Arabidopsis thaliana: one gene and its partner. The protein of the gene in region 1 binds, or shares a complex with, the protein of each later gene. Each region holds a gene or a part of one and is shown in the gene's direction. Other genes may lie near its edges.

Evidence for each region.
Region 2: the proteins of CRY2 (region 1) and AT3G44450 are in contact, whole or in part, in a crystal structure (PDB 6K8K), measured with the Arabidopsis thaliana proteins. Residues at the interface, in NP_171935.1 of Arabidopsis thaliana: Gln45 (codon at 3,109), Phe46 (codon at 3,112), His102 (codon at 3,280), Tyr104 (codon at 3,286), Pro106 (codon at 3,396), Leu109 (codon at 3,405), Val110 (codon at 3,408), His113 (codon at 3,417), Lys116 (codon at 3,426), Ser128 (codon at 3,462), Trp138 (codon at 3,492), Leu205 (codon at 3,788), Thr207 (codon at 3,794), Arg208 (codon at 3,797), Ala209 (codon at 3,800), Trp210 (codon at 3,803), Ser211 (codon at 3,806), Leu220 (codon at 3,833), Glu223 (codon at 3,842), Phe224 (codon at 3,845), Gln228 (codon at 3,857), Gly241 (codon at 3,896), Asn242 (codon at 3,899), Thr244 (codon at 3,905), Ser245 (codon at 3,908), Leu246 (codon at 3,911), Cys301 (codon at 4,076), Phe302 (codon at 4,079), Pro305 (codon at 4,088), Ala323 (codon at 4,142); in NP_190031.1 of Arabidopsis thaliana: Arg41 (codon at 2,172), Arg43 (codon at 2,178), Leu44 (codon at 2,181), His47 (codon at 2,190), Arg48 (codon at 2,193), Glu49 (codon at 2,196), Val51 (codon at 2,202), Ala52 (codon at 2,205), Gly53 (codon at 2,208), Val55 (codon at 2,214), Pro56 (codon at 2,217), Ile57 (codon at 2,220), Pro58 (codon at 2,223), Asp59 (codon at 2,226), Ser60 (codon at 2,229), Trp61 (codon at 2,232), Lys63 (codon at 2,238), Glu64 (codon at 2,241), Leu67 (codon at 2,250), Met68 (codon at 2,253), Trp70 (codon at 2,259), Phe76 (codon at 2,277), Asp77 (codon at 2,280), Ala79 (codon at 2,286), Phe80 (codon at 2,289), Thr81 (codon at 2,292), Gln84 (codon at 2,301), Ile85 (codon at 2,304), Ser87 (codon at 2,310), Ala88 (codon at 2,313).

The regions. Positions count from the first base shown.
Region 1 is NC_003070.9:1,184,914-1,190,877, reverse strand, and holds CRY2 (cryptochrome 2), read left to right. Parts: upstream 1-2,181; 5' UTR 2,182-2,691; intron 2,692-2,804; exon of another isoform or gene 2,805-2,871; 5' UTR 2,872-2,976; coding exon 2,977-3,289; intron 3,290-3,393; coding exon 3,394-3,618; intron 3,619-3,713; coding exon 3,714-4,426; intron 4,427-4,571; coding exon 4,572-5,159; 3' UTR 5,160-5,366; downstream 5,367-5,964. Other genes in the region: c-NAD-MDH1 (Lactate/malate dehydrogenase family protein), read left to right, coding at 1-131, 238-413, 571-848, 938-1,073, 1,166-1,277, 1,366-1,460.
Region 2 is NC_003074.8:16,073,084-16,076,629, reverse strand, and holds AT3G44450 (uncharacterized protein), read left to right. Parts: upstream 1-1,700; 5' UTR 1,701-2,051; coding exon 2,052-2,402; 3' UTR 2,403-2,865; downstream 2,866-3,546. UniProt on the Arabidopsis thaliana protein: Regulates the blue-light dependent dimerization of CRY2 and formation of photobodies. Inhibits CRY phosphorylation.

The DNA.
Region 1 (5,964 bases):
GATTGCAAGGGGTATCATGCTTGGTGCTGACCAACCTGTTATCCTCCACATGTTGGATATTCCTCCAGCTGCTGAAGCTTTGAACGGTGTTAAGATGGAGTTGATCGATGCTGCTTTCCCTCTTCTTAAAGGTAGTTAAGGGTTTTGTTTTGCTGTGGATATTTGCATTCCGTGTCATAAGTTGTTTTGTATAAGTGGGAAAGGAGAAGATGAATATTTGATGTGTATTATTATCAGGTGTTGTTGCTACAACTGATGCCGTTGAGGGATGTACTGGAGTCAATGTTGCTGTTATGGTTGGTGGTTTCCCGAGGAAAGAAGGTATGGAGAGGAAGGATGTGATGTCCAAGAATGTTTCCATCTACAAGTCTCAGGCTGCTGCCTTGGAGAAGCATGCCGCTCCTAACTGCAAGGTGATACGATCTGTTTGCTTTTTAAGTTAAATGAAGCCACTGCATCCAATCTTCTCTGTTCATTGGAGTGTAACAGATGCTTTGTGTTCTCTATTGGGTTCTAGTTTACGACTCTCTTGCTCACACATTCGCTCTCGTTTTGTCTTTTTTTTTTCAGGTTCTTGTTGTGGCCAACCCGGCAAACACCAACGCATTGATCCTCAAGGAATTTGCACCATCAATCCCTGAAAAGAACATCTCTTGTTTGACAAGGCTTGACCACAACAGGGCTTTGGGACAGATCTCTGAGAGGTTGAGCGTGCCAGTGTCTGATGTTAAGAACGTGATCATCTGGGGAAACCACTCATCCTCACAGTACCCAGATGTCAACCATGCTAAAGTGCAGACCTCGTCTGGAGAGAAGCCTGTCCGTGAGCTCGTCAAGGACGATGCATGGTATGTATAACATGCCATAGAACTTAAGACCCTTTCTCTTCTCTGGAAGCAAAATCTAGTTTCACTTAAATATATTGCTCATTCTGTAGGTTGGACGGAGAATTTATCTCTACAGTTCAACAACGTGGAGCTGCAATCATCAAGGCGAGGAAGTTGTCTAGTGCGCTCTCTGCTGCTAGCTCTGCTTGTGACCACATCCGTGACTGGGTCCTTGGAACTCCAGAGGTTCATAATAAAACTCTTCCCCGTTATTTGCAGTGCTGTTTTTTTGTAACAGTTAATCTAATATGAGTTCTTTCTTTGATTCAAATTGTCAGGGTACGTTCGTTTCCATGGGAGTATACTCCGATGGCTCTTACAGCGTTCCATCAGGACTTATCTACTCCTTCCCTGTAACTTGTCGCAATGGAGACTGGAGTATTGTCCAAGGTAAATATGACGCACTTACAAACTCAAATGCTCATCAATTATGAAATCCTAGATTCTGCAGACCCTAATGTGTATTTTGTTTGGTTAGGCCTTCCGATTGATGAAGTATCAAGGAAGAAGATGGATTTGACTGCAGAGGAGCTCAAGGAAGAGAAGGACTTGGCGTACTCATGCCTCTCTTAAACCCTTCTGGAGCAAAATTTTCATCTATAAGGTGTGAGATCAGTTAAAGCCTTTCAGGGCTTTGTCCGAATAAGAAGTGTGTTTGAAAGATCTCCAAACACTGTTTTATAACCTCTTTGGTCTCTTTGATGAGTATTGTCCCTGGTCTGTTTCTAAACCAGGATATCGTTTTTTTCAATGTGTCTGATTTGGTTTACCCATGAAAAGAAGAAAATTGGCAGTTGCATGGTTATCTTTTGCGATTATTTTTTTCTGCTTTAGCAATTAGCCCAAAATTGATGAGCTCTTCGATAATGGGTTTGTGCAATTGTGATTTGTGAGGAATGGTGTTATTGTGTTGCAATTGCAAAAAGAAATGCTACTCTTGCAGATTCATACCAAAACCAAATCACTAGATTAAACTGAAATTCTAATGTGGATTATTTTAATTTTACTTCTATTTTTCTTCACCCAAATATTTTATAACCAAACACCAAGTTGACACCAAAATATACATCCAAAAAACTTAGATTGCTTCTATTTTACGACTATCCGAAATCGAATCATAAACCGTAGGCAATGGTCCATTAATAAGGGGTATACGAGGATTCAAAGTTTGAGAGAACTTTTTTATCTTTACCTTTTTCCTTTTGTAAAGTAAAAGCAGTGGATTTTGATTATAGATTCTACTTGGTAATGACTAATGAGAATCAAGTTCTCACCTTTAAGCCATATAGACTTTAGATATTTAATGGATTCTACAAAAGTGGGCATGACCAGAATCGAGTTCATGAACCACCGTCCTCGGCCCCAACGTTAAAAAACTTTTTTCTCTAGCATAAGAAGATAAGAGTATCTTCACTGCGCTTTAGGCCCACTCAACATTCAAACAAAATTCGATCTCTTATAAAAAAATATCTCACAAGAGAAAGTTCGTACATGATCCCGATAAAATCGTAGATGAGCAAATCAAAGATGAGATGTCGGTAAAAAAAACGCTATTATAAGAACACACGCCACTAGTTGTGGATAAAGTTGTCTACTTTTGTCTCGTTGTGATTATTATATTGCACAATTATTAACATTCATACTCTCATATGGGTATTGTTTTTGGTCTCCGTTAGATCTCAAATCTTTAACTTTGCATACCCAAAATAGGAAGAAAGAAGAGTCAAGTCACTAAAATAACTTTCACAGTCTTTGATTCGAAGATCTTTGTCGCCGAGAGATATCCACTCTGATTTGAGTTCTGGTAAAAAGTTTCCAGCTTTTGATTTTTGTTTCTCTCAATTGAATTTCTCTTGCTTGCTCTGTTTAAAAGGATTAGGATTAAATCGAATCTCTCTCTGTTATGTTTTTTTGTAGATTATTTTGGATTTTAGGACTCAAAGATTACAGATTTCTTATCAATCATTCTCTGTTATTGTTATAGAACTATTCTCTGGAGGAGGTTGAGGTCTGAAATCATGGAACAACTTGGTTAGAGTGTGGAATTTTAGCTGATTTGATCTTTGATTCATCTGTGATCATAATAACTATGAAGATGGACAAAAAGACTATAGTTTGGTTTAGAAGAGACCTAAGGATTGAGGATAATCCTGCATTAGCAGCAGCTGCTCACGAAGGATCTGTTTTTCCTGTCTTCATTTGGTGTCCTGAAGAAGAAGGACAGTTTTATCCTGGAAGAGCTTCAAGATGGTGGATGAAACAATCACTTGCTCACTTATCTCAATCCTTGAAGGCTCTTGGATCTGACCTCACTTTAATCAAAACCCACAACACGATTTCAGCGATCTTGGATTGTATCCGCGTTACCGGTGCTACAAAAGTCGTCTTTAACCACCTCTATGGTATATACTCTTTCATCTCTTATTCAAAGGATATATATTCTTATTAAGTTAGTGTAGTCTAAGTGCAACTGAGGTTGATGCGATCACGTTTTTCTTTGTTGTAGATCCTGTTTCGTTAGTTCGGGACCATACCGTAAAGGAGAAGCTGGTGGAACGTGGGATCTCTGTGCAAAGCTACAATGGAGATCTATTGTATGAACCGTGGGAGATATACTGCGAAAAGGGCAAACCTTTTACGAGTTTCAATTCTTACTGGAAGAAATGCTTAGATATGTCGATTGAATCCGTTATGCTTCCTCCTCCTTGGCGGTTGATGCCAATAACTGCAGGTAAAACCTTAAAGAGTATTACTTAAAAGCTAAAACGTTTTTGATTTCTTCAGGACATAAGCGGTAGTAAAAGTTTATGGCTTTTTCTTTGTTAGCGGCTGAAGCGATTTGGGCGTGTTCGATTGAAGAACTAGGGCTGGAGAATGAGGCCGAGAAACCGAGCAATGCGTTGTTAACTAGAGCTTGGTCTCCAGGATGGAGCAATGCTGATAAGTTACTAAATGAGTTCATCGAGAAGCAGTTGATAGATTATGCAAAGAACAGCAAGAAAGTTGTTGGGAATTCTACTTCACTACTTTCTCCGTATCTCCATTTCGGGGAAATAAGCGTCAGACACGTTTTCCAGTGTGCCCGGATGAAACAAATTATATGGGCAAGAGATAAGAACAGTGAAGGAGAAGAAAGTGCAGATCTTTTTCTTAGGGGAATCGGTTTAAGAGAGTATTCTCGGTATATATGTTTCAACTTCCCGTTTACTCACGAGCAATCGTTGTTGAGTCATCTTCGGTTTTTCCCTTGGGATGCTGATGTTGATAAGTTCAAGGCCTGGAGACAAGGCAGGACCGGTTATCCGTTGGTGGATGCCGGAATGAGAGAGCTTTGGGCTACCGGATGGATGCATAACAGAATAAGAGTGATTGTTTCAAGCTTTGCTGTGAAGTTTCTTCTCCTTCCATGGAAATGGGGAATGAAGTATTTCTGGGATACACTTTTGGATGCTGATTTGGAATGTGACATCCTTGGCTGGCAGTATATCTCTGGGAGTATCCCCGATGGCCACGAGCTTGATCGCTTGGACAATCCCGCGGTAAACTACAAAACTTGTCTTATAGTTTAGAATTCAAAGCTTAATACCAGTTTTTGCTATGCATTCGTTTTTTATTTTATTTTTCAGCTTATTTGGTTTGGTTGATTTAGTTCTGAAGTCTATGAAAACTCTGTTTTTATTTCAGTTACAAGGCGCCAAATATGACCCAGAAGGTGAGTACATAAGGCAATGGCTTCCCGAGCTTGCGAGATTGCCAACTGAATGGATCCATCATCCATGGGACGCTCCTTTAACCGTACTCAAAGCTTCTGGTGTGGAACTCGGAACAAACTATGCGAAACCCATTGTAGACATCGACACAGCTCGTGAGCTACTAGCTAAAGCTATTTCAAGAACCCGTGAAGCACAGATCATGATCGGAGCAGCACCTGATGAGATTGTAGCAGATAGCTTCGAGGCCTTAGGGGCTAATACCATTAAAGAACCTGGTCTTTGCCCATCTGTGTCTTCTAATGACCAACAAGTACCTTCGGCTGTTCGTTACAACGGGTCAAAGAGAGTGAAACCTGAGGAAGAAGAAGAGAGAGACATGAAGAAATCTAGGGGATTCGATGAAAGGGAGTTGTTTTCGACTGCTGAATCTTCTTCTTCTTCGAGTGTGTTTTTCGTTTCGCAGTCTTGCTCGTTGGCATCAGAAGGGAAGAATCTGGAAGGTATTCAAGATTCATCTGATCAGATTACTACAAGTTTGGGAAAAAATGGTTGCAAATGATCAAAATAATGTGCTGTTATAAAGCCTAACATGTAGATGTGTGAATGTGTCTTTTAACTCTTTGTTTCCTTTTGGTTATACTCAAAAGGATATGATTGCATAAACATATAATGCTGATATTATTTCAATTGGCTATGAATAAAATATACATATTTGTTTAGTCTTTGAATTTGTTTCATCTGAGTTGTTTAGTTTGAGGAAAAAGATAACGGCCAATTTATATTTCTTTATAAAGAAAAGAAAGGAAATCTCGATACACGACGTTTTTATATGAAACAAATGCAGTTGGAAATAAAAGTAACAAATCATTGGTCTAAAAACCCCAATGAAAAATAGTAACTAAATGACTGAATACTACGGTAAGATTTTTTTAATTTCTATAAAAATATAAGATTTTTTTTGATGATTAAAATATTTTTTTATAATCAATTACAAATAATTATCATATCTTGAAAACAACAAGAATTTTTTTGATATAATAAAAATATTAAATTAAATTACAAAAATAAACGATACTAGAATTATATTTCATTGAAATTTCTTATATATATATATAGCTGATATTTTAATACAATTATTAATTTATGATATTGATGGGACTATATGTTTACATAGGATTTTCAAAAAAAAAATATTTTATTAATTTATCGATTTGTATCGCTTTTTACACTAGTCCCAAATACTGAAAGAATTTATTATTTTATAAAAATGATTAATTTATCGAATATTAATTTATAAAGGTTTTACTGTACTTGCATGGCACAACAACGAGAAAAAGTCCACGCGATAAAGCTTCAATGTCAGG
Region 2 (3,546 bases), on another chromosome or scaffold:
CCTTTGTAGTTTTTCGATCTTTTTTCTGCTTCTCATTTGTCTTTGTAAGCGTCTGTCAAAAACTAAAATGCTATAAAATTTCACTTTTTACCAAAAAAAAAGTGTTTAGATGGTCATTCCCTTTGGAGTCCCTAAAACTTCTTGATGAGACTACTCACATATGACCAAGTACATGTGATCATTGTAGGATAAGGGAGAGTTGCCTCAATAATCGTGCCCAAGAGAGTTATCAATTAAGAGCCTCTAATTAGGATGGTCAATATAACTAGGTTCATTACAAGAAAATTATTGTCGGTAACCTAGTTTCTCCTTTTTAAAAAAAAAAATGGTCAGTTTTCATAAATTTGCTTTCAGTAGACAAAAAGAAATTATGAGTATGATCACAACATGAGTGGACAGTAAATTTGCTTTAGCAAGTTGCAATATATCTTGTTTTGTGGCTTACAAATGAATTGAAGTTGACGCAACCTTTTGATTTTGATGCTTTAAATTTACATGGGGCCAATCAACACAGAGAATTAAAGAAAAATAAATATGATTTTTCTTCAAATTAAATTAGAGTTAACAAAAAAAAAAAAAATGGTTGGTTTGATAATGGATTACGTTAGTCAAAATATTGTTTTTTTTGGTTGGGTTTATTCATTATTTGATTTTATTTTTCTTGATCATGTATTAAACAGCGGATAAACTATCAAATATGAAACGTTCTCCTCATGTATGCTGATTTCTTTTCTTTTTTTTGAGAAATGTGTGACGAATATTTATGTTCTGAATCTTCACAATTAATCAATTTGACTGGTGTGGAAAAAAATAAAGATGTGCCTTTCATTGCGTGTGAGTTGTGACGTAAAGGAGAGCCAAAATTGATTCTTCTTGCTACGTTGTTTTCTTCCCAAAGTGGAAATAACGAAAGATCTGAGAAGAGAGACCCAAAAAAATATCTAGGATGTAGCAAAACCACACATATCAATTAAATATATATATATATATCTTTTCTTCTGATATTAAATAAATAAATATTTTCTAAGTCAATAATAAGTAAATAATAATGAATGTATAACCTTTTTCTTTTAGAGGGGAAGGGGGCAAAAATAATGAATATATAACTAAAATGCTACAACAAATTGATTGATTTGAGTTTGATTAGTAATCTTTAACCGCTTCGCAAACAAACCGCTTTTAAAATTCCGATCAATAGCGATTAGAAGAAGCAGTTGGAAATAGTGGGTTGAAGAGATTGTTGCCCGCCACCTATAAAGATTAAGGTAATTTGTTTGGCAATGAAATGCTTGGACTTTTTCTTATATATTTTAATTTTTAAAATTTTAAATATTAATATTCTCTTATACTATTATCTAAAGGAATTTTTTAAAATAGAAATAAAAAATTTCTGGAATTTATTTATATTTTAATTTATTTTATATTATAACTTTTTTAGTATTCAACCACTTCTTATCAATTACCAAAAATTTAGCTGCTTGGTTTTAACTTAACCGCCTTTTATCTAACATTGTTTCTAACCGTTTTTTCAACAACCACTAAAGAAGCTCTAAACCGTTATGTGTAAACTATATTACCAATCGAACTCTATAAATTATGTATGTGATGTCTATAAATAACAGATTATGTTAAAATGTAGCTAACTCATCAAATAAATAAAGAACTCACAAAAATAAAATAAAAATCAGTGAATTCTATGTGTATAACATTTATGCATGTTCTACAAAGCGGTTTAAGCGGTCATCTATACTTCGACTAGACGTTAGATGCTCATGCCGGGTCTAGATAACCGGTGAAGGAAAAACCAAACATGCCATGAGACGTAGAAACGTCAACGACCATATAATGGTATTACTATTATATGTGATCCTACAAGAAGACACGGCCACCACAAATCTCTGTCACACTCTCCTTCGTTTTCAACCTTGTATATTATTTTTCTTCTTTCTATTATTTCTCTCTAAATCTCAACATTTTTATATATACAACACACACGTCGAAGCCAATAAAAATCTCTACTACAAAAGTAAAAATAAAGAAAAGAGTTCAAAATGAAGAACACCAATTTGCCTGAAGAAACCAAGGAACCAATCTCTCCAGGATCTTCTCACCGGAAACAAAACAAGACAGGTACAAAGACATGTTTCCCGGAAACAACGGTGTTGTCAGGACGTGATAGGCTAAAGAGACATAGAGAAGAGGTTGCCGGAAAAGTTCCTATACCGGATAGTTGGGGAAAAGAAGGATTGCTTATGGGATGGATGGATTTTTCGACCTTCGACGCTGCTTTTACGTCTAGCCAGATTGTCTCTGCTCGAGCTGCGTTAATGGCTGACTCAGGAGACGATGCCGGAGCTAGAGGAAGTAGGCCTCAACGCCTTCGAGTTGAGAGTTCTTGTTGATTTCATTGTCTTAGAGAAATGTTTATGAAATAATACTCTCATCATGATTTTGAATGTTATTATTAGATACCTTATCTTCACATTGATTTTGAAATTTTGAACCATTGATACAATTATTCAAAGTTTCATATAGTACTTGTCTAATTGAATTGATTTGTAAATGGAATTTGCATGTGCGTGAGACAATTTGGCCATTATATAGTTGGGATGAGTAATTTATTTTCTGTTGAAAATTGAGAGATATTGATTAAGAATTGTATAGTGAAGTGAAGGATTCATGCTTTTCTGATAACATGCAAGTCAGATTTTTTTATTTTTTTTTCATACTTTTTTTTTGTTTTCCTATCATGACATTTTGGCTCACTTTTTCTTTTCTTTTTTTTGGTGATCAACTTTAGATTTTGAATTTTCAGGGTTATTATCAAACTCTCTATTATTATGATTATTTAATGACCATTTTCAATTTCTTTTCAATAAATAAAAATTATTGATTTTTTGATTCGTAGTCTCTCGAATGTGAACCATAGCTTTATTCCTTAAGAGAGATACATAAATTTAATAAGTAGAACCAACTTCTCCCAGCTACTCTTTTACGTTTTTGATGTTACTTTTTCCTTAGGGATGTTACAAGATGAGAAAGGTTTTAGTTATCAAAAAAGAAGGCGATGAAAAATGTTTAAATGTCCGAGAATTATAAAACTACCCATCGCAATACAATATATCCCCTCATACTATATACGTAAAGTAAATAAATCATTTGGAAGGCAACAAATTAAATATCACAAGTAATTGATCAGCATAGGGGAATGCTATTGTCCATGACATTGATCGATCCAACCATATATTAAAAAACGTTATTAAGTACCGTTATTAAAGTGGAAGAGGCTTTCTTGGGTTTGAATGAATACAACTATGTTTGCACAAAAAAAAACAAAGTACATTAGTCAAAATTTATTTATTTACTGTTAAATTATAATTAACAAAATCGTTATGTTTTTTTTTTTTTTATAATATTTAGAGAGGCTTCCAAAAAACCTTTCAGACACGACTACCAAAACACCTTTACTAAACATTTTTTCCGGCATCGGTGAAGTTTTTGCTTACCGGCTTTGGGATCCCATCTGCATTTCACTTCGACATCGCA